Linked DNA regions of Oryctolagus cuniculus. The protein of the gene in region 2 interacts with the protein of the main gene of each other region in a pairwise test. Links are inferred from orthologs where the notes say so. Each region holds a gene or a part of one and is shown on either strand. Other genes may lie near its edges. The genes, in order: SFTPC, SEC22A, DTX2, STX4, TMEM79 and ERLIN1.

The links.
Region 1: the proteins of SEC22A (region 2) and SFTPC interact in binary tests that used the Homo sapiens proteins (3 or more experiments, as listed by UniProt). The two-hybrid records come from large-scale screens. The link is inferred for Oryctolagus cuniculus from reciprocal best matches to the Homo sapiens genes SEC22A and SFTPC.
Region 3: the proteins of SEC22A (region 2) and DTX2 interact in binary tests that used the Homo sapiens proteins (3 or more experiments, as listed by UniProt). The two-hybrid records come from large-scale screens. The link is inferred for Oryctolagus cuniculus from reciprocal best matches to the Homo sapiens genes SEC22A and DTX2.
Region 4: the proteins of SEC22A (region 2) and STX4 interact in binary tests that used the Homo sapiens proteins (3 or more experiments, as listed by UniProt). The two-hybrid records come from large-scale screens. The link is inferred for Oryctolagus cuniculus from reciprocal best matches to the Homo sapiens genes SEC22A and STX4.
Region 5: the proteins of SEC22A (region 2) and TMEM79 interact in binary tests that used the Homo sapiens proteins (3 or more experiments, as listed by UniProt). The two-hybrid records come from large-scale screens. The link is inferred for Oryctolagus cuniculus from reciprocal best matches to the Homo sapiens genes SEC22A and TMEM79.
Region 6: the proteins of SEC22A (region 2) and ERLIN1 interact in binary tests that used the Homo sapiens proteins (3 or more experiments, as listed by UniProt). The two-hybrid records come from large-scale screens. The link is inferred for Oryctolagus cuniculus from reciprocal best matches to the Homo sapiens genes SEC22A and ERLIN1.

Annotation. Positions count from the first base shown.
Region 1 is NC_091439.1:1,147,297-1,151,443, forward strand, and holds the start of SFTPC (surfactant protein C), read right to left. Parts: upstream 2,801-4,147; 5' UTR 2,691-2,800; coding exon 2,649-2,690; intron 1,348-2,648; coding exon 1,189-1,347; intron 923-1,188; coding exon 800-922; intron 591-799; coding exon 489-590; intron 227-488; coding exon 86-226; 3' UTR 79-85; intron 1-78. UniProt on the Homo sapiens protein: Pulmonary surfactant associated proteins promote alveolar stability by lowering the surface tension at the air-liquid interface in the peripheral air spaces.
Region 2 is NC_091435.1:79,369,840-79,373,940, forward strand, and holds the start of SEC22A (vesicle-trafficking protein SEC22a), read left to right. Parts: upstream 1-1,301; 5' UTR 1,302-1,379; intron 1,380-1,445; exon of another isoform or gene 1,446-1,597; intron 1,598-4,101. UniProt on the Homo sapiens protein: May be involved in vesicle transport between the ER and the Golgi complex.
Region 3 is NC_091450.1:44,152,187-44,155,686, reverse strand, and holds part of DTX2 (probable E3 ubiquitin-protein ligase DTX2), read left to right. Parts: intron 1-1,822; 5' UTR 1,823-1,910; coding exon 1,911-2,178; intron 2,179-3,500. UniProt on the Homo sapiens protein: Regulator of Notch signaling, a signaling pathway involved in cell-cell communications that regulates a broad spectrum of cell-fate determinations.
Region 4 is NC_091450.1:6,128,866-6,132,189, reverse strand, and holds the end of STX4 (syntaxin-4), read left to right. Parts: intron 1-466; coding exon 467-575; intron 576-651; coding exon 652-728; intron 729-850; coding exon 851-988; intron 989-2,199; coding exon 2,200-2,310; intron 2,311-2,380; coding exon 2,381-2,464; 3' UTR 2,465-2,479; intron 2,480-2,567; 3' UTR 2,568-2,824; downstream 2,825-3,324. UniProt on the Homo sapiens protein: Plasma membrane t-SNARE that mediates docking of transport vesicles. Necessary for the translocation of SLC2A4 from intracellular vesicles to the plasma membrane.
Region 5 is NC_091438.1:42,426,566-42,430,511, reverse strand, and holds the start of TMEM79 (transmembrane protein 79), read left to right. Parts: upstream 1-1,146; 5' UTR 1,147-1,285; intron 1,286-2,035; 5' UTR 2,036-2,078; coding exon 2,079-2,835; intron 2,836-3,028; coding exon 3,029-3,242; intron 3,243-3,946.
Region 6 is NC_091446.1:29,928,956-29,932,968, forward strand, and holds the start of ERLIN1 (erlin-1), read left to right. Parts: upstream 1-1,213; 5' UTR 1,214-1,335; intron 1,336-1,643; 5' UTR 1,644-1,654; coding exon 1,655-1,767; intron 1,768-4,013. UniProt on the Homo sapiens protein: Component of the ERLIN1/ERLIN2 complex which mediates the endoplasmic reticulum-associated degradation (ERAD) of inositol 1,4,5-trisphosphate receptors (IP3Rs).

The DNA.
Region 1 (4,147 bases), on a different chromosome or scaffold from region 2:
GGAGTGAGCCTGGCTGGGTCCCCAGCGCCTGGTCCGCCGCAGGTGGCCGGTGGCCCAAGCCCTCCTCCACCTGCTCACCTGAGTCCTAGATGTAGATGAGAGGCACCTCCCCACACAGGGTGCTCACGGCCGCGCCCAGGAAGGCCAGCTCTCCTCCGGAGGACGCCGGGCCTGCGGCTGGCCCCTTGTCCTGGCCCCGCTGAGTGGGAGGCTCTGCAGGGTTGGCCTGGGAAGAATACCAACTTGGAGTCTGGGGACCCAGAGCCTGTCACACCTGGAGCCCTTATTGGTGGGACCTTAGGCAGGGCTGCGTGGGCTCAGCTGAGGCCATGCACTTGGAGGAGGGGGAACAGGTAGGGGAGGCAGGTGCAGGTGAGGATGGAGAGGTGGGCACTCACTTGGGCATGCCTTACAGGTGACAAGTACCTTCATCATCTCAAGTGTGGCCTGGGAGGCAGACAGCCCCCACCCCTCACCCACACACCCACCTGGAATTTTCTAGCCAGAGCCTCCAGACTGGGGATGCTGTCTGGAGCCATCTTCATGAGGTAGCAGCAGGTTCCCGGGGCTGGCTTATAGGCGATCAGGAGCTGGGTGTGACATGCTACAGGTCAGTCGAGAGGCCCCCTGCCTCGCTCACTGCCTACCCCTGCGCTCACCCAGCCCCTGGGTTGGACACAGGAGTCCTGTTGGAATCTGGGTTTCAGGCCTTCCCTCTACCCCCCACCCAGGGAGAGGGGGGAGAGGCGGATGTGATGAAGCGGCACAGCCTGTGGCCCTAGGGGTGCAGGCAGCCTACCCGCTGGTAGTCGCAGGTGACAATGCCGGTGGAGCCGATGGGGAAAGTGGCCGTGGTGCCCGCCCACTCGCTCAGTGCCAGGCGCTGCTGGACCTCCGGCGCCCCGATGCTCATCTCTAGGACCTGGGGGAGATGTTCCTGGCACTCCTGTCCCCCACTCCAGTGCCCATGGCCCCCTCCCCTCTCTTTACCCAGATGCAGTTTCTTTCTCTGCAGAGAGAGCTCAGGGGCCCGAGTGGAAGCCCAGGCCAGGTTGGCCCGCCCCCATCTCCGCCCCTCTCCCTCCACACTGCACCCTGGCATTCCCCTGGCCCAGCCCACCCAGCTCCGGGGCGGCTTGCCCCCACCCTCACCCACCCGCTGCTCACCCCAGCCCCGCGCCTGCTCACCATCTCGGTGTGTTTCTGGCTCATGTGGAGCCCCATGAGCAGGGCCCCCACAATCACCACGACCACGAGGACCACCACGACGACCACGATGAGAAGACGTTTGAGGTGCACTGGGCAGCAGGGGATGCCGAAGCGGCCCCGGGGAGCTGCTGAGTAGTCCTGCCGGCAGGGGGCAGCAGTGAGACCCGTGCCAGCTGGACACCTCGGCCACACGCACACTCAGAAGGTTGGACCACCAAAGCCACACAGACGCACACACACACACTCAGAGGGATAGACAGCCAAAGCCACACACACGTGCTCACACAGACACACTCAGAGCCAACACCACACGTGCACACACCCACTCACACACATGCACCCAGAGGGATGGACAGCCAAAGCCACACACACGTGCTCACACAGACACACTCAGAGCCAACACCACACGTGCACACACCCACTCACACACATGCACCCAGAGGGATGGACAGCCAACGCCACACACACGTGCTCACACAGACACACTCAGAGCCAACACCACACGTGCACACACCCACTCACACACATGCACCCAGAGGGATGGACAGCCAACGCCAATGCCACCCATGTGCAGGGGAGGGCTGTGACGACCAGAGGAGGCTCCCTGGAAGAAGTGACCTGGATTCTAGCAAACCCAAGGCCTCGTGTGCAGGGACCCAGGGTGGCCTGTTTGGCCAGGGCTCGTCTCCTGCTATTTCTCCGAATTCCCTGGCACCCAGCCATAGCCAGACCCTGTGTTCCACAGATGGCCCAGGCTCGCCTACACTGCCGTGCCTTCATCCACACTCCCCCACCTTCCTGCAAAGCCCTCCTGCTCTACCTGGACAGCTCCTCTGTATTTTCTGGCTCTACCTGCCTTCTCTCTGGAAGCTTCGTGCAACCCCCTGAGTACTCAGTGGCTCCTCCCTCCACTACCCTCTCCATTTTTTTAATAAAAGAGACCTTAGATTTGTGTTTAATGCTTTATTTATTTGTTTGAAAGGCAGAATTTCAGATTGATAGATAGATAGAGATCTCCCATCCATTGGTTCATTCCCCAGTGGCCCTGGGCTGATCCAGGCCAAAGCCAGAAGCCTGGAACTCCATCCAGATCTCTCACATGGGTGGCAGGGACACAAGTACTCGGGCCATCCTCCACTGCTCTCCCAGGCACATTAGCAGGGAGCTGGATCAGAAGCGGAACAGCCGAGACTTGAACCTGCGCCCATATGGGATGGTGGTGTTGCAGGTGATGCCTCAGCCTGCTGTGCCACGACGCTGGCCTCCCGGCCCACTCCACTGACCAGTCCCTGTGATGGCCGTCACCTCCTTATACTGGAATTATTGTCTCCCCCAGGGACTCTGTCTCAGTGGCCTTAAGAGTCCCCATCTTAACTAGGAGGGTGGAGGAGGCAGGGTCCCACACACACCTGCACACACGCGCGCTCCCATGCACTCACCGGTGGGCTCTCCATCAAGGCCTCTTTGCTGCCCATGTCCATCTTGCCACAGGTGCCCGCCTCTCCTCGCCTCCTGGGTATGACCAGGGCTTTATATGTGCTCGTGCGGAGAGAGGGCAGAGGTGAAGGACCGGGCCCCCTGTCTGCCAGCCAAGTCCTTGACTTTGAAGCCTGTTTGTTCCTGGCCCTCCAGAGCCAAGGCCCTGATAAGCCAGCTACAAGTGCCCCCAAGGGCCCTTGGCCCTGGCACGTGAGCTCCCTCTTCCCGCACGGCAGCGAGCCTGGGTGTGCCGAGCAAACTTGCCCCTCGGCCATCGGCAGCGCTCACCATGGGTGTCTCCTGGCCGGCCTGCCTGTCTTGCTGGCACCTGCCCTCGCAACCCTTGTTCTGCTGCCAGGCGGAACCACTCAGGCGGCCAAGGGTCTGACCGCCCGCCACACCTGCCAGCAGAATTTCTAGGGGTGAGTTCGGGGTAGGGGGCGGAGGAGCCAACATCAGCAGACCCTGAAAGGATTTAGGGTGGGGGCGCAGGAGGGCTCCTGGGTGTGCACTTCTCTGGGAGGGCCGGATTCCCGCTCTATGCATTCCGCCTCACACGTGGCCTGCCTGACCTCAGGCTAGCCCCCAGTCATTCTTTTCTGTTTGGAAACTCTGTGCCCGCCAGTGGAAAACTCTTACTCATGTGCACTGCTCCACTCTTTGCTAGATGGCAGACGCGGCTCCCTCAGCCCCGACGGCCTTGCACAGGGCTGGGTGTGGTTACTGGCCGCCTCCCAGTCTCCCTGTTCTTAGCTGTGCCTGCTTGCTCCACACTGCCGATCATCGCCAACATCCGGCTGCACTCTGCATTTCATATTCTCTGGTACCAAGGGCATTCCAGAGGGCTACTCACCCCACTCTGTCCCCTTTCTGACCTCGTCACCACCACCCCAAACCCAGCCGCCATTCTCCCTCTCCTACGTCCTTCCCCAAAGCCGTGGCCGTGGCTCACTCTCAGATCGGCCGCTGGCTTCGCGGGGGATGGTACCTTTCCGCCTGGGCTCCCCTTCCCTCTGGGAGCCAAGTGAGCTGGGAAGCCCCTTCACCTTGGAGCTGCCATGAGGGTGTCAACTCAGAGCCCAGCACCTCCCTCTCCCGGCCTCCTCTCCTTGAGCGTATCACTCCTAGCCCTGTCCCCTGCCTCACTCACACCACGACCCTGCCTTCAGGCCACCAGCTGGACCCTCCCCACTCTCCAGCCCTGGCACAAGGACCCTCTCTCCTCTCCAGGTTGCACAACAGCACGACCTCTGCTCTGAGGGCCCCTGAGCAGCCCCAGGAGGAGAGAGGAAAGGAAGTGTTTGCTCTCACCGCCTTCCTCACTCCCAAACGCCCCTTTAAATATTTGCCAAAGCCTCCGGCAGCCACAGAGGATCCCCCGATGGGTGAGAGGACAGAGGAGGAGGAGGGGGCACAGGGAGCAGGAAGAGACCAACATCCTCCTCTCGGCTCAGCCTCA
Region 2 (4,101 bases):
CCTACCTTAACAATTTGCTTTCCTGTATAGTACACTATGTGATTACTCTAAAATGTATTAATCCTATAAATATTATTATACATGTATCTATATATTCACCAAAATACATGTGTAATAGTATTTATAGGATTAATAGATTTATAGGATTGATACATGTATTTTGGTGAACATATAAATAGATATTGTTGAATATGTCTAGTGGAAGTTGCTGGGTTAACTCACTCCAACAACCATGAAATTTACATAGTTAGGTCAGATCTTCTGAACTATAGACTTACCTATCAAAAAACTCCATCTATAGCGTCTGAAATTTAACATATGCAGCAACGAATGGCTTCTTCATCCGTTTGGTTACTTAAGGAGTCATCCTGACTGCTTGGTGCTTCCCGGCAAACCAATCTGTAAGTTCTTTATTTTCCGCCTTTGATTTATACATATCTTGAAATTATCCATCTCGCTGTCTCTACTGCCGTTACCCCAGTTCAAGCCACTGTCATCGCTGGCCTTCACAACTGCCTCCAAACTGGCCTTCTAGCACCCCTTGTCCTCTTCCAATCTGTTCTCCACAAACAGCCTCAGTGAGCTTTTAAATATGTAAATCAGATCCCACAGAACAGTCTTCACTAGCTGCCTTTTGACCCCAGGATGCCTTCCAGTCGCAGTCTGAAATCTATCAAGTGGCCAGCAAGAGCCAGCGCGGTCTGCCCTGGCCTCATCTCTGCCCAGCTGTCCTTGCTCTTTGCACTCCTCCACACCGACTTCTTGTCAGTTCCCAGAACACTCCAAGTTCCTTCATGCCCCGAGAGCCTAGCCATCACGTTTCCCTTGACCTGGAACATTCTTTGAGGCCCGTTAACAGGCCTGGGAGTTTAAAAGGCACTTATTCAGAGGCCTTTTCCATGACTGTCCAAAATAACCCATCACAGCACCCACCACTTTCCCTTTTATAGTACTGATCACATGTAATAATTATGACAACGATTTATGCTAATGTAGCTTAATCTTATAATGGTACTTTAAATCCCATCCAGCGTTAGGTTCACTCCTGTAACCGGATGCCTAACACAATGCTGTGCGCGGTAAACACTCGGGAAATGCTTGGTTAACAATGTGTGACCATGACAAGACTTGAAGAGGCCAAGCCACGGGGCCAGCACCTGGCACTGCCCTTCTTGTGTGTGGCGGCAGACAGAGGCTGGTTCCTCCCTCCCTCCCTCCCTCCCTTCCCCAGAGGGGGCTTTTCCCCCTGCCCCTTGGATAACAGTTTGCTGTGGGACCGCCTGCGAGAGACAATCCGGCAGCAGGCGGGAGCGATTAGCCTAATTTCTCGGGGACAACAGAGCTCTGTCCCCAGAGGACGACGGGCTCCCCCGGCGCAGGTGCGTGGGAAACTGCCAGTCTGTCCTGGAGGAGGCGGGTCAGTGAGTTCTTCCCACAGAACCCGATTGGCCGGGGCGGGCCGAGGGAACGGGGCGGGGCTTGATTCCGCAGGCGCCGGCCACGTTGGACGCGAGGCAGCCCCGCTGAAAGGCCACTCCTGGGCCCCACAATGCACTGCGTGGCGCGTCACTCGGAGCGGCGGGTCGCGGCTCGGCAGGTACGGCCCGGCCCCTCTCAGTCTGTTTCTTCCCTGCGCGGGGTCGCTCGCTCCCCTCTTTGGCCGATCGCACCTTTGGCTCTCCCGCCTCGGCCCTCTTCGTCGGGACCACATGCCTACGCCTGGGCAGGAACCATGCCCGGGGCGTGGGGTGGAGTCGGGTGGTGGTGGTGCGGCCGCGGAGCCCTGGAGCGGCCGGCGTTTGGGGCCATGGACCCCTTGGATCGAGTGGTCTGCGGGGCCGCGCGGGCGGCGGTTGTCCCCCGGCCGACCTGCTTCGGGAGCGGGGAGATGCGGGTGGGGATAGGAGGAGAAGAGAGAGTCCTGGGCTGCCCGCGGGCGGCGGCGGGGATTCCCTGGCGCCCAGATGTCATAAACACGGTGGTCCGGCACTTAGGCCGTTTGGGGCAGGCGAGAGAACTGGAGGTGGCATTAACTATTTGTTTTAGGCAGGATGACTTACTTTGCGTTTTGTGGGGATTGGGTGAATATTGAGCCCGGAGCTTTGTCTGCGCTGGCACACAGGAAGCTTGAGGCCCTGTTGATAGCCCTTGGGGAATGGCGAGGCAGAAAGGAGACCCGGACAATTGGCTCCACAAGTCGGGGAGATCGAAGGAGACGGCCGATCCCCAGCTGGCTGGAGTCTCTTGCCAGGGAAAGCCCCTTTAGACTTGTGCCGCTGTAATTTTTGGGTCATCCACCTGGGGCAGATGCAAGGCTTCAGACTGGAGATACTGGGGTCGCAGCTGACAGGTGGCTCCGCACCACATTCCATGTTACTGCTACTTGCGTGTTAAGACTGTAAGGAAGTAGGCAGTCCCTGTAGCAGTGCCTACAAATCCCAGTGTATTCAGCTGCACTGCTTGAATCGGAAACCTGTGAGCATGCCCTGTGTTAATGGGACACCTGCGCGTTTCCTACTTTGAGAGCTATCACACCCATTTAGTATGTGACTGATTAAAATCTAAATGTCTTATGAAAGAAAAACGGGTTCTCTCAGGGGCGCCAGTGGCCTTCCTCTGCGTGTATTTGAGTAAGAGTTTGCATATTTGGGGAGGTACTGTCTCATAGAATTCTTAGAGTTAGGCCTGGGTTAAATCCCTGCCTTCTCACTTACTTGTTTAGGAATTGAATAAGTTGCTTAAACTTTGTGGCTTTTAATTTCCTGAAAAGCAAAATGGAATTCATATCTACCTCACAGGTTATTGGAAGGCTTAAATGAGGTAATGTGTATGGTATATACACATTATATAATGTGTGTTGCCATAGTGATGATCAATAAAAAGAATAACAGATACTTAGTAGAGCACTTTGAGTGTGTTTCCATAAGTGTTTCAGGATCTTTACATAATCCTATGTGGTAGATGCTACTGGTTTCTTGAAACCAACCCTAGGAGGTAGATAATATTAGTTGCCACACTTCACAGATGAGGAGATTGAGGTATGCAAGGTCAGAGCTGCCCTCGGTTACATGGCTGGCACATGGTGGAGCCAAGATTTAACCCAGGCAGTCTGGCTCCTGAATCCGACCTTTTAACTCTCATACTATACCGCCTCTTACAGTGTAAACTGTTACTATTCAAAATGAGTGACCAGATAGTTTCTGTGTCACAGGTTCCTGCCCCTGATTGGTTTTGGGAGACTGATACGGCACAGTGACATAGAAATATAAGACACTTGGGTTTAAGTACCGGCTCTGCCACATACTTGTATGGTGCTAGCAGTGTGACACTGAGAAAATGAGCCTCAGTCTCCTCATTTGTAAAGTGGAGGTTATACCTACCTGCCTTGAACTGTGGCTCTAGACAGATGTTGGAGATGGACGTGTCTGAACCCGTGTTGGCCGCCCTGTTCCTAGGGGTGGGCGTGATCTGTTTTGGAGCCCGAGGGCTTGTGCATGCTCTGCACTGCAAGCACCCCTGCTAGGAATTAGACTTCTCGTGAGGCTGGGGGCACAGGCAAAGCAAAATGAGCACTGGCTGTGCTTGGTACCTGTTTCTCTTCCTGTCTCAGTCTACCCACATGTCCCTAAACTAACTCCTCCCCTTTCCCACAGACCTCAGCACCTTTAATAAAATAATGCGTTCCAAATTCCTGTTTCTCACATTTTGGTTCTGAAACATACGTATGATAACCTGATCAGCCGGTGAACATCTAAAAAATTAATAATTCTCCAGAAACTTTCTCATGTGTTTCTAAAACAAAAAAGTTCTTCATGTTGTGTTTTTTTTTTTTTGTTAAAAGATTTATTTATTTATTAGAAAGGCAGAGTTACAGAGAGTCAGAGGAAGAGAGAGAGAGGTCTTCCATCTGATGGTTCACTCCCCAAATGGCCGCAACAGCCAGAGTAGCACTGATCAGAAGCCAGGAGCCAGGAGCTTCTTCAGGTCTCCCAAGCAGGTGCAGGAGCTCAAGGACTTGTGCCATCCTCCACTGCTTTCCCAGACCATAGCAGAGAGCTGGATTGGAAGAGGAGGAGCCGGGTCTCGAACCGGCACCCATAT
Region 3 (3,500 bases), on a different chromosome or scaffold from region 2:
GGCGTTTCTGGGCCCCGTGCCCCTGCAACAGAAGCTTCTCCTTCCTTTGTCTTTTGGGGTTTCAGACCCCCTGGGATATTGGGCAGTTGAAAACCTCGGCTCTGTCTTGGAGCCAGCCTTTGGCAGTTCCTGCTCCAGCAGGGGAACAGACTGAAACCCACAAGGGCAGTGCTGCTGGGTGAGTGGAGACACAGGCGGCTGCGAGGACGGGGACTTGTACGGGGGGAGCATGGGACTGGGAGGTGCGAGAGGGCTCAGAGTGTTCTAGAACTTGCTGGATTCCCATGGGGTGGCCTGAGGTCCTGAGTTTAGAGGGCTTGGTGTGAGTGGGGACGGGACCTGTTGTGGAGAGGCCTGAACGTGGCAGGTTCCCCCATCTGAGGGGGCTGCACACCTTCTCGTAAAGCTTGAGCTGGCGTTGTGGGTGTGCGGAGTTGTGTGTGTTGACTCACCTGGGGATGTGTGGACATGCCGGGGCACAGCCCGTGGGCGATGATACGGAGGCCCCGGCCTCCTCGGGAGCAGGCGGCTCTGCCACCCTCCTGATTTGTGCCTTGATGCGGTGGCAGACTGATTGCAGGCCGTGAGCTCAGCCAGCCTGCCCGAGGGCGCCCGGGGCCAGTCCTCCCCGGCAGGATCTGGGCTCTCAGCAGAGGCCTTGGCGGCTCAGTACAGGCCTGGCAGCACAGCTGTGTTCCTGGGCCTGACGCGGCCTGTGTTCTCGGATGTGTGCCGCGGCTTCAGTGCTGCCCTCGCAGTCAGCCTACCCCAGACGTGGGTGGGAGGGCACTGGGGGAAAGGGGTGGAAGCGAGCGGGAGCAGCTGCTGGGTGCCGGTGCTTTGTATGCATACCTCTCTCTCTCAGTCCCGTGAAGAGCACTTGGGTAAATGCTGGTGTCTCCGCTTTCCAAGGAGGAGGAAGCCAGCTTAGAGAGCTTGAAGGTGTACAGGGAGTGTGCGGCGTCTCAGTGCCAGGGCCCGTGCAGGGGAGGTGGCCTTGCTGCAGTGCAGCCGAAGGGGACAGCAGCAGAGGCACAGCAGAGGGATGTGGGTGGGTGGCCGGGAAAGCTTTCTGAGTGACACAGGTTGGGCCCAAGGAGTGCACAGGATTTGCAGGGGAGGCGGGTGGAGCGCCTCGAGGAAAAGGTCTCGGGGCCAGGGGGCCCTGCAGATGGCAGACAGCCAGTCGGTAAGGCCTGGGTGGGGAGGCCGAGGCGGGGTGGGAGTTTTCCTGTCTGCCTGGGGCTTCCTTCTGCTCGGGGATGCTTCCAGGGTGGCCAGCGACACAGAGGAGCCAGAATCTGTCTTCGTCCCCACCTACGAGAAACATGCTTCAAGTGCCAGCTTTGCCACAGCCCCCTGGTCCTGTGTGAGACCCAGTGTTTCTTTATCTGCAGCATAGTGAGTGTTAATCCACATTGCTCAGATAAACCTGGGTTGGAAACCGTCAGCTCGGTACACAGGGATGAGGGGTGATCGTGGCTGTACCGCACAAGGATTTGGGTTGACTGAGAAATAGGTCCGGCTCAAGAGGATAGACTGAGTGATCGGGTCAGAGGGAGGGCAGTGGTAGCGAGAGAGGAGCTGGCCTCAGTCTTAGCGGGGCACGCACTCTGCCGCGTCTGAGCACGTGCGGAGCTGGGAGGAGGGACTGACTGGATTCTTCCTGACTGCCAGGGCAGAGCTGCAGGAGCAGGTGCTCCGTTCCTGGTGCCCTCGAGGTACTGGGGAGAGCCGCTGCGGAATGGGCTGACTGCCCCCAGCCCGACTCGGGCAGAGCTCGTGGTGGGCATTGGTAACTGCTCTTCTCTCTGGTTTCCAGGTCTGCTCCAGGCGCTGGGCCATGAACCCGAGATTCCATCCCAGAGCGCTCTGAAGCCGTTTGGGCAAGCAGAGGAGTCCGAGGGAAGATGGCCATGGCCCCAGGCCCTTCCCTGGCCCAAGTGTACGCCAGCCCCGTGGCAGTGGCTGTGTGGGAATGGCAGGACGGGCTGGGCTCCTGGCACCCCTACAGCGCCGCTGTCTGCAGCTACATCGAGCAGCAGTTTGTCCAGCAGAAGGGCCAACGCTTTGGGCTGGGAAGCCTGGCCCACAGCATCCCCCTGGGCCAGGCCGACCCCTCGCTGGCCCCTTACATCATCGACCTTCCCAACTGGACCCAGTTCCGCCAGGACACTGGTAAGACACCTCTGCCCCGCTGCACATCTGAGCACGTGCTCTGGCCCAGGTGCCCCGCGTGCGAGGTGTTGTGTGTTACCCAGGCACTGCGTTGTCCTTGCCATGAGATGGACGTGGCAGGGAGCTGGGTGCTCTGAGTGGGAGCGGCTGCCCAGCCCGCTGAGATGGGCCTCAGGCAGTAGGGGAGCTCCCAGCCCTCCTCCCGTTGTCTCCCAAACCAGGAGCGCCTGCCTCGCCCTGCAGTCACTGGGGGCTCTTTTAAAGGCAAGCGGCAGAGGGGAAAGGTAGATCTTCATCCACCTATTCACTTCCTAGCAACAACTGGGCCTGGGCCGTGCAGAAACCAGGAGCGGGCAGCCTTCCTGCCGCGTGGGCAGCAGGGGCCTGGGCACTTGGGCTACCACTTGTGGCCTCTCGTCACGCGCATTACTAGGAAGCTGGCTACGTAGAGTGCACGACACTGGAAGCAGGCACTTCAGTGTGGGATGTGGGTCCCATGTGGCATCTTTTTTTTTTTTTTTTTTTTTAAGATTTATTTATCTGAAAGTCAGAGTTACACACAGAGAGAGGTCTTCCATCTGCTGGTTCACGCCCCAGCTGGCCATAATGGCTGGAGCTGTGCTGATCCGAAGCCAGGAGCTTCTTCCGGGTCTCCCATGTGGGTGCAGGGGCCCAAGCACTTGGGCCATCTTCCACTGCTTTCCCAGGCCATAGCAGAGAGCTGGATCGTAAGTGGAGCAGTTGGGATTCGAACCAGCGCCTATCTGGGATGCCAGCACTGCAGGCGGCAGCTTTACCTGCTATTCCACAGCGCCAGCACCCCCCATGGCATCTTAACCTGCTGCACCATGACATCCACTCCTTTCTGATTTTTAATCTTTTTTAAAAAAGATTTTCTTATTTGAAAGGCAGGGTAACAGAGAAAGAGACATCAAGAAACAGGTCTTCCATCCTCTGAGTTACTTCCCAGCTGGCAGCAACAGCCAGGACTGGGCCAGGCCGGAGCCGGGAGCCAGGAGCTCCATCCAGCTCTCCATGTGGGTGGCAGTGACCTAAGTGCTTGGGCCATCTTCTGCTACCTCCCGAGCACATCAGTAGGAAGCCGGGTTGGAAGTAGGGTAGCCTGGACTTGAACCAGCCACAGAGCTGCCCCTCTCCTCCTATCCACTGGTTCTCAGTTGGAGTGATTTTGACCCGCGGATGTCTGGAGACATTTCTGGTTGTGAAATTTCTGGTTCTGATACGGGATGTAGACACCCCAACGGCGTTCTTTAATAATAGCCACACCAGATTCCTGCCCTGGGTTTGGTCTTGGTTAACCA
Region 4 (3,324 bases), on a different chromosome or scaffold from region 2:
GCGCTGGCTGGCATTTGGCTGGTCTGCCTTCAGTGATGACTGTGCGCCAGCCCTGAGCTGTTCAGATAGAGCAGTGAACCTGGGAATAAGCAAAGGGCGTGAGGACGGAGGAAGCGTTAAGGAGAAAAGAGCCAGGCGCGGGAGAGGGATGGAGAGGGTTGCGGGAGGCAAGGTAGCACCTTAAGGGTGGGAGCGGTGAGTGTTGTACAGGAGGGAGGGCTCAGCAGAAGAGGGGGAAGTCCGAAAGGGGACAGGGACAGGGACAGATCACCTAAGGCCACCTGGGCTCTCGTAGTGGTCTTGCCTTTTCCTCGGACAAATGGGGACGCCTTCAAGGTCATCCCAAGGTGGCCGATGCCGCAGGCAGCTTGGAGAAGCTCCTGTCGTGTGCGCAGTGGGATGCCCAGGCCCAGGTGGGGCGGGGGTCCTTCCCGGGGTGCCCAGCCTGTGCTCTCTCCACCCTCAGCATGGGGTGCTGTCGCAGCAATTCGTGGAACTCATCAACAAGTGCAACTCGATGCAGTCCGAATACCGGGAGAAGAACGTGGAGCGGATTCGGAGGCAACTCAAGATCAGTGAGTTGCAGACGCCCAGTCCACAGGGTCAGGTCACCCCCTGCCCCAGCTCTGAGCCTGGCCTCTCCCTTCACAGCCAATGCTGGGGCGGTGTCCGACGAGGAACTGGAGCAGATGCTGGACAGCGGGCAGAGCGAAGTGTTTGTGTCCAATGTGAGTGGCCATCACCCTCGTCCCTGATGAAGGGGCTGCCCCAGAGAAACCCCCTCTGGCCTGCCGCTGGTGTCCCACCCCGCGCTGCCGTGACCTGTCCGCTCATACCCACTCTCCCTCAGATCCTAAAGGACACCCAGGTGACCCGGCAGGCCCTCAATGAGATCTCCGCCCGGCACAGTGAGATCCAGCAGCTCGAACGCAGCATCCGTGAGCTCCATGACATCTTCACTTTCCTGGCTACCGAGGTGGAAATGCAGGTGAGCCCACGCAGCTTCCCCGGGATGGGAGACGCTGCTCAGGCGGAAGCCCTGGCCGGCCGTGACCGCCAGCCCCCCTCCGCCTCTCAGCCGCTGTCCCCAAGGCTTTGTACCCAGCCCTGGCTTTGCTGCGCTACTGCAGCTCCTAGGGGAGCCGGCGTCTGTGGTGCTGTAGCCAGTGCCACTTCTGCCGCTGGGAGGCAGGGGAGGGCATCTCATTCAGGAGGAGCAGCAGGACCTGCAGGCTGGTGGTGCCAGGAGGAGCTGGGGGAGGGGCGGCTGCACAGCAGCCGGGAGACAGGCCTGGAAGAATGGCTGAATTCAGGGGCCAGAGTTCACCATCTGAAGAAAAAGGTATGAACCCGTGGAGCACACGGCCACAAGCCGCCCCTGCACATACGGGGGGTGCTTGCAAGAAGGCATGGAAAATGGAATTGAGAAAGTTTCTCTGGGGTGCAAAAAAAAAATCTTGAAATCATGTATAGGAGGGATCTTCAAAAAGTGACTGGCCAATGCACGTTAGGAGAAATCTGTGCTTGGATTCCAAATTTGGGGCACCAAAATAAACTCTTATTTTCTTTAAAAAAAAAAAAGAGAGATTTATTTATTTATTTGCGAGGCAAAGACAGAGAGAGGGAGAGAGAGAGAGAGAGGTCTTCCATATGCTGGTTCACTCCCCAAATGGCCGCAACGGCTGGAGCAGAGCTGATCCGGAGCCAGGAGCCAGGAGCTTCTTCCAGGTCTCCCACGCAGGTGCAGGGGCCCAAGCACTTGAGCCTCTTCTGCTTTCCCAGGCCACAGCAGAGAGCTGGATTGGAAGCGGAGCAGCCGGGACTTGGAACCGGTGCCCATATGGCATGCCAGAGCTTCAGGCCAGGGCGTTGACCCGCTGCGCCACAGCACTGGATCCCCGAAAACAAGCTCTTAATTTGCCTTCTGCAGGCGTTTGGATGTCACCTTATGGGGGCAAGGGAAGCGGGGAGATAGGACCACGTGATAGAAGGGATCCCGGAACCATCCCAAGATTCTGAGCCTGGGTCACTTCTGGAGCTGCCTCTGTTGGGGGCAGTTTTTGTTTTGTTTCCGTGGGCCTGGGAGATGCGTCAGTCATTGCCGGGTGGCATGGGCAAAGGCGCAGCTGGCCTCCCCGTCCCCAGCCCCGCTGTGCCCAGGCATCGCTCCCTCTCTGAGCCACCTCATCCCGCGAGCAGGGGGAGATGATCAACCGGATCGAGAAGAACATCCTGAGCTCCGCGGACTACGTGGAACGCGGGCAGGAGCACGTCAAGATCGCCCTGGAGAACCAGAAGAAAGCGAGGAAGGTGAGCCCCCCGCCCCGCCCCGGGCGCAGGCGCCCCACTCGGTCGTCCCTGACCCTCTTGTCTCCCACAGAAGAAAGTCCTCATTGCCATCTGTGTGTCCGTCACGGTCCTCATCCTGGCCGTCATCATCGGCGTGACCATAGCGGTGGGCTAGAGTTGTACATTTTCGGTGAGACCTCCTGGCCCCTCCCCCGCCCCGCCCCCTCCCCAGCCTTCCCTCCTCCCCTCAGACCCTCCTCCCCCTCCTTCCCTTGCAGGCACCGGAAGCTCCAGGGACCCAGGTCCTGGCCTTGTCTCCCTGCAGCACAGAGCCCCCAGTGAGGACCCCCACTCCACCCGGCGCCCTCGGGCCCCTGTACAGCGGTGGCAGGCGGTTCTTCTTGGGTCAGCAGCTGCTCGTCCGTGGGGCCCCCCCTCCCCTTCGAGCTACAGTGCCTGGGCGAGGGAGGGTCTGCCTTGTCCTGTTTGACTGGGACACATGGTTTTGTAAAAAATTAAAAAGAGAGAAAAACGAGCGAGCGAGCTTGGATTGGAGACCCTTGTTGCTGGCGAGCTGGCCCAGCCTCTCCCCACCTGCTGGCCACCCCTGGGGCCAGGCCAGGCCCAGACAGGCCCAGGTCAGGCTGCCCTAGGTGCCGTGCCCACAGCGAGGTACTCCTGCTTTTTCCCTGGGGAAGGACCGCTGAGCACCTAGCCCTGAAGCCATGAGGAGGAGCCAGGTATTTCAAGAAGGAAGGGAAGGGGCTGGCAGGCAGAGGCCCCAGCCCCAGGTCTCGTGATCAGAAGAAATCACTGCTGTTTATGGAAGAGTTCAGCTAACAGAGCCGGTGAGCCCGGGTTAGCGCACCTGGAGGCGCAGGTAGAGGCAGAGGCACCTGAGCCCTGGTTTCCTTGTTGTTGTTGTGTTTTTTTTTTTTTTTTTTAAGATTTATTTATTTATTTGAAAGGCAGAGTTACACAGAGAGAGGAGAGGCAGAGAGAGTTTTCCATCCGCTGGTTCACTCTAATTGGCTG
Region 5 (3,946 bases), on a different chromosome or scaffold from region 2:
TTGGTGTAAAGTGCAGATTAAGGAGCAGGGCAGCTACCACTTCATTCCCAGACTCCTCGGGGGCTGAGGGTAAAGGTTCTGCAAGACTGAAGTTGGGGTTAAAGAGGTGCATGTTGGGCTTGTGTGCAAGTCCCTGGTCGGTCCTCAGTGCTCGTGGCTCTCCTTTGATTGGTTAGCGATGCCACCTTCTCTTGGGAATTCCAGTCACTCAGGTGGTAGTTACTTCTTGCTTGGAGCCAGGGTTCCTAGGAAAACTCTCAAGACTGAACACCAAGATGTTATCTGCAGAGGCCATAAATGACCCCATGAGTCTTTTGATCCCGGACCCTGAATTGCTGCACCAATTCAGTGAACTTGATTTGTAATAAGGGCAGTTAGGAAAGGAGCCTGGAAGACCACGGTAGGCAGGCTCTGATGATGCTGACGGCGTGCAGCATCTGCACCAGGGGCACCGCCCAGGGGCTTGGGTTCCGTCTGCTCACACTGGAAAGAGCACCGATGACACTGGGACTATGTTCTCTTAACTTGAAACCTAATCTGAAAAGAAAGGCGTTCTGGTGCCTGTGCACACCGTGCGATGGGAACGTGAACTGCCCTCTCTGTCACGGTGCTCCGGGCTCCAGCCACCAGCCTTCCTTCTGTCCCTGACACAGCCAAGTCCTTCCCACTTGCTGTTCCGCTTGGAACACTCGTCATCCTGATTCTCCAGCTCCTGATTCTCAGCTCCAGTGTCATCTTATCACAGAAGTTTCTTCTGCTAAGAAAGCAGGCTTCCCTATCACCTGTTACCCTTAAAGAAGGGCAGAGCTCTTGACGTCACTTGTCTTCCTGTGTCTGTCTGTACCTCGTACAGAGCCTAGCTAATAACAGGTACTCAATAAATATTCTTTGAGTGAGTAAATGTACACAATCCAACTCTTTTCTGGCTTTACCCAATCCACTCCAAGCACCGTTTGGTGCACAAAGCTACTCTTCTTCCTCTGCTTTCCTGACCAGGGCGCCTCACACATCCCGGGTGCCTGGAACACAAACTCACCTCTATGCGTGGCTGCACCCCCGCCACGCTTGGAAAGGACAACGTCCTCCTCTAAAGCTTTTTCTGTCGGCACATTCAGCAGGGCGGGGCCTGCCCCTTTAATCTGGGCCCCACCTGCTCTGGTCAGACAGGTTTGGAGACACAGGTAAAGGGAGGGAGACAGAGAAATACTTGCAGAGCCAGCACGGAGCTGGGCAGTTGCTTCCTGGACTGGACGCTGGGGACCCTCCACCTCTCTCCCGACAGAAAGTAAGGGGGTGTCATGGCTCCAAATGGCGTGGCGAGGGGAGGGCCCTTGGGGAGGGAAGGAAGGGGAGTCGGCCCCGTCCAGAAGCAGTGAGATAGAGGGTGGCAGTGAGGGGTGGTAGGCAGGAGGGAAGGCGTGGGAATCAGCCATGATTCAACCCCAAAGAACGGACAGACCCGGGGGCTGCCGGCATGAGGTGGGATGGTGAGAAGATTGGAGGCTGGCCACACGTTCAGATCGGAGACGCAAGAACTGGTGCTGGCAACTGCCAGCTCCTTGGGACAGATGGGTCGACAGTGACTCCTACTTGCCGGGGGAGTCCCCAGCAGGGTCTGCAGGGAGAAGGGCAGATGGGCTGGGGGAGGGGCTGTGGTGTTGTCCACAGGAAGATCTCCGGGGAGAAAGAAGCTGTTGGCAAAATTCTAGACACCTTCTCTGCTTCCCATTCCTGAATTATGGTATCCGGGACTCCGGGGGTTTTGGTGGAAGTGGGTAGGAGGCATGGGTGGGGGCTGACCGAGGCCAGAGCTGCTGGAGCCTGTGCCCCGACTCACCCTCGCGTGCCCGGATGCATCTGAAGATGTTGAAAGCGTGCCTCCACTTCAGCTCCCTCCCACCTCCCTCGGTTTCAACACCAACCTCTGAACCATGTTCTCCCCGAGGTCCCAGACGGGGCCAGAGGAGCCCCGGAAGTTCCAGTTCTGTGGCCCCGTCCTAGGGGCCTGAGAGAGCTTTTGCCCTCCTCCCTCCAGGATGACGGGACCTTAGGCTGGACCCCAGAACTGAAGCCCCAGCATGACAGAGCCTGAGACCCTGGCCCTGCTGGAAGTGAAGAGGCCTGAGGCCCCGGAGAAGAGCCCACCCCAGGACCTGGTTCCCAATGGCCGGCAGCCAGAAGGGGGAGGCGGGGCCGAGTCCCCTGAAGGCGGGTCCCTCCAAGTGGAGTCTTCAGCTGGCTCTGCCTCAGCCAGAGAGGCCACCGAGGATGGCCTGGACAGCACAGTGAGCGAGGCCGCCACCTTGCCCTGGGGCACCGACCCCCAGCCCACTGCGCCCTTCCCAGACCCTCCCGGCTGGAGGGACGTAGAGTCAGAGCCGCTCGAGCCCGAGCTGCCCGTCAGGCCTGAGGGGCTGCCTGAGGATGATGCCAACCTGCTGCCTGCCAAGGCTGCCCGGGCCTTCGTGCCCATCGACCTGCAGTGCATCGAGCGGCGGCCCCAGGAGGACCTCATCGTGCGCTGCGAGGCGGGCGAGGGCGAGCGTCGGTCCTTCCTGCCCCCCCGGCTCCCCCACATTGAGCCCCCCGAGTGCAAGTGGGCCGAGGCCGTGGTGAGGCCCCCCAGCCGCTCCTGCGGGAGCTGCGGAAGCTGCGGAGGCCGTGAGGGGCTGAGGGCTGTGGCCTCGGTGGGAGCCGCCCTCGTCCTCTTCCCGTGCCTGCTGTACGGAGCCTACGCCTTCCTGCCCTTCGACGCCCCACGGCTGCCCACCCTGAGCTCCCGCCTGGTCTACACGCTGCGCTGCGGGGTCTTTGCCACCTTCCCCATCGTGCTGGGTGAGTCTGGGGCCCCTGTGACAAGAAAGGGGACACCTGGAGAGTGGACTTCAGAAGGGCAGGGCCTGCTGGGGCTTGGGGAGCAGGTGAGCGCCCCTCGTTCAGCCTGGTCCTGCCAGGGCCTCCCCCACCCCCACTCTGTGTGCCTGCCTCCTGCCTGTTTTGACCCCGTGTGTTTCCTGACCCCACCCAGGGCTCCTGGTGTACGGGCTGAGCCTGTTGTGCTTTTCTGCCCTACGGCCCTTTGGAGAGCCCCGGCGGGAGGTGGAGATCCACCGGAGATACGTGGCCCAGTCGGTCCAGCTCTTCATCCTGTACTTCTTCAACCTGGCCGTGCTCTCCACCTACCTGCCCCAGGACACCCTCAAGCTGCTCCCTCTGCTCACTGGCCTCTTCGCCGTCTCTCGGTAAGTGGGGTGGGGGAAGGAGGGTGATGTGCCAGATCCAGGCACCCGAATATCTGGAGAGCGGCTTTTCTGGGTTCTGGAGTGGCCCGCGTGTGCCCTGGAGAGATGAGTTCACTTACTCTCCTGCACCGGACTCACCTGGGGGCAGGTGGGCAGCTCCTGTGTCTGCCGGGAGGTAGGAAGCTGATTTCAGAGATGCGACATGCCAGCATGGAACTGGAAGGCTTTTAAGTGTCACAGAAATCAGCGGGCCCATTACAGCCACTCCTCTGTAGTACTCTGGTCATGCAGTTTTTTTGGCTTCTAGCTGAATGCCCGCTGTGATAAGTGCTCCATTCTTTATAAAGCGATATGTTTTGGTTTTTGAAATCCCTAATTGTTAGAACTTTTTTTTTTTATAATGTGTTAGAAATTTCTATCCTGACTCTGATCCCCAGGACAAACACTTCTCAGTTCTCCCCACTCTAACACTCTGCTCCCCACCCGCCATCTCTACTTTGCTAAGTGATCACGGTCCCTTCATTGTCCAGGCCCCTCCCTCTGGGCAGGAGACGCTTCCCTGGCCAAGGGTCCTCTTCATACAGACGAGGCCACCTTAGCTCTCACAGCGGAATTATTCTCCTCTCACTCAGTTTGCAGTTGCCTGAAATCCTCGGGGAGTATTTTCATGTGAATTTCTGAACCCAGATGCGCTCTTTCCATTT
Region 6 (4,013 bases), on a different chromosome or scaffold from region 2:
AATTTGGAAGTTATTATAGATAAGTTTGGAACAGGAGCCCTGACATTCCTATGAAATAAAAATCAGATGAATGATACAGATAAGTGAATTTATTAAAGGAAGTGGGTAAAGTGATCTGGGAACGACTGCTTTAATGAGGAACTGAATTTTGATTATCTTTCATTTCACTGCTACTGCCGGTATAAGCTCAGGCCTGCAGTTTCTTAACTATTTGGCTTCCCTGCCTTCAGTCTATCTTCACAGCCATTTTGCAGATTCCTAAAGCACTGTGTTCCCATGTCTGCTCCAGATTAGAAGCCCCTCCAACCTTACTCAGCCCTGTCCAATTGTGGCCTCCCACCACTAGCCTTCGAAAGCATAAGCCATTTCTGACCAACCTACACTAACATGCGGGGCTTACTTTCCTTGTATTAATCTATCTCATGCCAGACTCGACCCTTTTCCTTTGCCCTTTTTCATTTTGGGTAATATATGTACATGGTGCAAAACTTGAAAACAACAGAATATGCAGCGAAAGTTCTTCCTGCCCCCTAGACATCCAGTGCCCACATCAGCAGGGGGAAAAAAGTGCATTCCCGACTTTAAAAATAATCCGGTCCTATCCTAGCCCACCAAACCACTGCTTTCCATCCCACAGGCTTTCAGACAACTCAAGTGCTTATGGTTGGCTCCCTTTGGGCTTCCAAGAGGAGCGCCGCGCCCCTCACTGCGCTCGCCCACTCTTCTTGTCGCCGGGACGGCCACGCTAAAGCCCTAACTGGTCAGCATTCGTGCACAACTATTCTCTCTCTCTCTCACACCGACAAAAACCAAGGAAAAAACTTGAATGAGTGATGCAGGTAGACCGAACAGTTTCCTCGTCCTTTTACAGCGAACAAGTCTGGTTGCCCCAGAAGTGCACGGTCCGCGCCAGGAGCACGTGTTGCTGCACAGTAGGGTTCGGAATACGTCCAAAAAAAAAAAAAAAAGACACAAAAGGAACAGCTACCGCATTGAGAGTGGGGCAGCGGGTTCTCTGCACAAAAGCAAACCGACTGGTTTCTTGTCGGACAGGCCTTTCCTATCCCCGCTTCCCCCAGAGTACCGCTTTTCCTCACCAGCTCACCAGCAGTGCACACAGGAGGAAGCGTCCCACCTCCTAACTGGAGTGCAAGGGTGGCTGGAGTATTTTGGCCCCCTCGCTTCCCGTTCCTAGTCGCAGGCGGGGCACTGCGTGCCTGTGCGTTTTAGCGCAGGCGCAGTGCAGGGAGAGTGGGCGGGGCCGGCTGTTGGCGGCGGTTGGCGCGGCCCGGGAGGCGGCTGCACGTGCGGGTGGGGGCGATGCGTCACTGATCGGTGAGGCGCGGCCGAGGGGGTCTCCCCTTCCGGAGCCTAGGGCTGGGCGCGTTCTCGGCGCCTTCTACAGACTGAGCGGCGGTGGGGAGGGGGCGTCGCGACGCTCACCGAGCAGGAGCGGCCCGCGGGCCACCTCGGGCGGAGGGGCTGGCGAGGGGAAAGCGGGCTGTGAGAGGAAGGAGAAATGCGGGGAAAAGGGCGCCGCACTCGCCCGCGCAGCCTGTGAGGGGGCGCCGGCTCCCCGGAGGAGGGAGGGGGGAGTGGGCCTGTCACTCATGGGGCTGAGGGTCGTTGCCTCGCTCGCCTAGGAGCGACAAGGATGAATATGACTCAAGCCCGGGTGCTGGTGGCTGCGGTGGTGGGGCTGGTGGCTGTCCTCCTCTACGCCTCCATCCACAAGATCGAGGAGGGACACCTGGCTGTCTACTACAGGTGAGCGGCGCGTGCAGTCAGCTCGGGTTCTAGACGGGTGGACGGGGCACGTCCCCAGCCGCGTCCGGGCGAGCACTGCCCAGTCCTGGACGTACTTTTCGGCCCAGCGGTCGGGAAAGCATGGTGTGAGGAGGGGATAATGCAGGCTTTGGGGAGCACTCTACAAGTGTCGGTCCGTTTTACTTCTGTGTTCGTTTTGTGCAGAGATTAAGACTCCTTGTGGGTATTCCTGGTACACAGTGAACTCGATGATTTGTAGAAAGATGAAAAAGGAAAGAAGTAGTCACTCTACAAGTAACTGAAGAAGTGACTAAATCGTTTATAGTGCATAGAACTGTGCGGGCTTTTAGTTTGCTGCCATACGTGCTTTTAGAAAACGTGGTCCTGCGTATGGTTGTTTCCTAAGATTCGTTTCATCTGGTTATGTCTTTTTTTTTTTTTTTAAGATTTATCTATTCATTTGAAGGCAATTACAGAGGCAGAGGCAGAGAGAGAGAGGTCTTCCATCCGCTGGTTCACTCCAGTTGGCCACTATGGCCACTATGGTTGGAGCTGTGCCGATCTGAAGCCAGGAGCTTCTTCCGGGTCTCCCATGAGGGTGCAGAGGCCAAAGGTCTTGGGCCATCTTCTGCTGTCCCAGGCCACAGCAGAGAGCGGGATCGGAAGTAGAGCAGTCAGGACTCGAACCGGCGTCCATATGGGATACTGGCATGCCAGGCGGCGGCTTTACCCACTATGCCACAGCACCAGCCCCTGGTTATGTCTTTTTTTTTTTTTTTTTTTTTTTTTTTTGACAGGCAGAGTGGACAGTGAGAGAGAGAGACAGAGAGAAAGGTCTTCCTTTTGCCGTTGGTTCACCCTCCAATGGCCGCCGCTGCAGCCGGCGCACCGCGCTGATCCTGGCAGGAGCCAGGAGCCAGGTGCTTTTCCTGGTCTCCCATGGGGTGCAGGGCCCAAGCACCTGGGCCATCCTCCACTGCACTCCCTGGCCATAGCAGAGAGCTGGCCTGGAAGAGGGGCGACCGGGACAGAATCCGGCGCCCCAACCGGGACTAGAACCCGGTGTGCCGGCGCCGCAAGGTGGAGGATTAGCCTATTGAGCCACGGCGCCGGCCAGCCCCTGGTTATGTCTTAAAAGACCATAATGACCATGGCGTTGGTTAATTCCTGGACCTCAGAGGACAGAAGTGAGACACAGATGAGCCACTTACTTCATCCTTTCAACTGGAAGAGAGGAACGGAGTGGGATATGCTACTTGCTCTTTAGTTGAGTTGGTGTACTGTTTTTTTTTTTCTTTCAACATAGTTGACACCAGATCCTTCTGTTACTGACTGTGAAGAGGGAGGACGGTTGGTTGAGAAATTGGAATAGTGGTGTATTCAAAAAGAGCTTCAACTTTTTGATTGTTTGCATCATCTCCCCTAAAAATGTTATTTCTACATTTAGCTCCCTCCTGAGTCATAGAAAAAGTGCAGATTTAGTGGTATGTTTTAGCAGGGAGCACTCCAATGTAAGACGTGACGGATGAATTCAGATTTCCTTCCACTTTAGCATTGTTTTTCAGACATTAAAACCAAGGAAAGAACATTTCAAGGTATGAATTAGTGTTTGGTCTCAAATAGCTCATCATAAGTTTTGGACTTCTTTGCAAGCTCATTTATGTTTACCATACAGGTAGCTGAGTTCTGTTCGTTATGTAACATAGGACTTCTTTATTTGCTCCCCAGATGTCTCCTTTTTATAATTGCCAGTATATGCTTTCATAGTTCCTTTATTGCAGAATTTGATGAACAAATCCATACCTATTCATTATTTTTTTTAAGTATAGCAAGGGGTTCTAGATTTTTTTTTTAAAGATTTATTTATTTGAAAAGCAGTTACAGAGAGGCAGAGAGAGAGAAAGAGACAGACAGTCTTCCATCTGCTGGTTCACTCCCCAGATGGCCTCAATGGCTGAAGCCAGGAGCCAGGAGCTTCCGCTGGGTTTCCCATGCAGGTGCAGGGCCCAAGCACTTGGGCCATCCTCCACTGCTTTCCCAGGCCATAGCAGAGAGCTGGATCAGAAGTGGAGCAGCCAGGACTCGAACTGGCACCCATATGGGATGCTGGCTCTGCAGGCAGCAGATTTACCTGCTCCACCACAGTGCCGGCCCCCAATACCTATTTATAAACTTAATCCTTTCACCCCACATCTTTCCATGCTAATTTTTTGTTGTTTTTGCTCAGAATTTTGTGTATCAATATT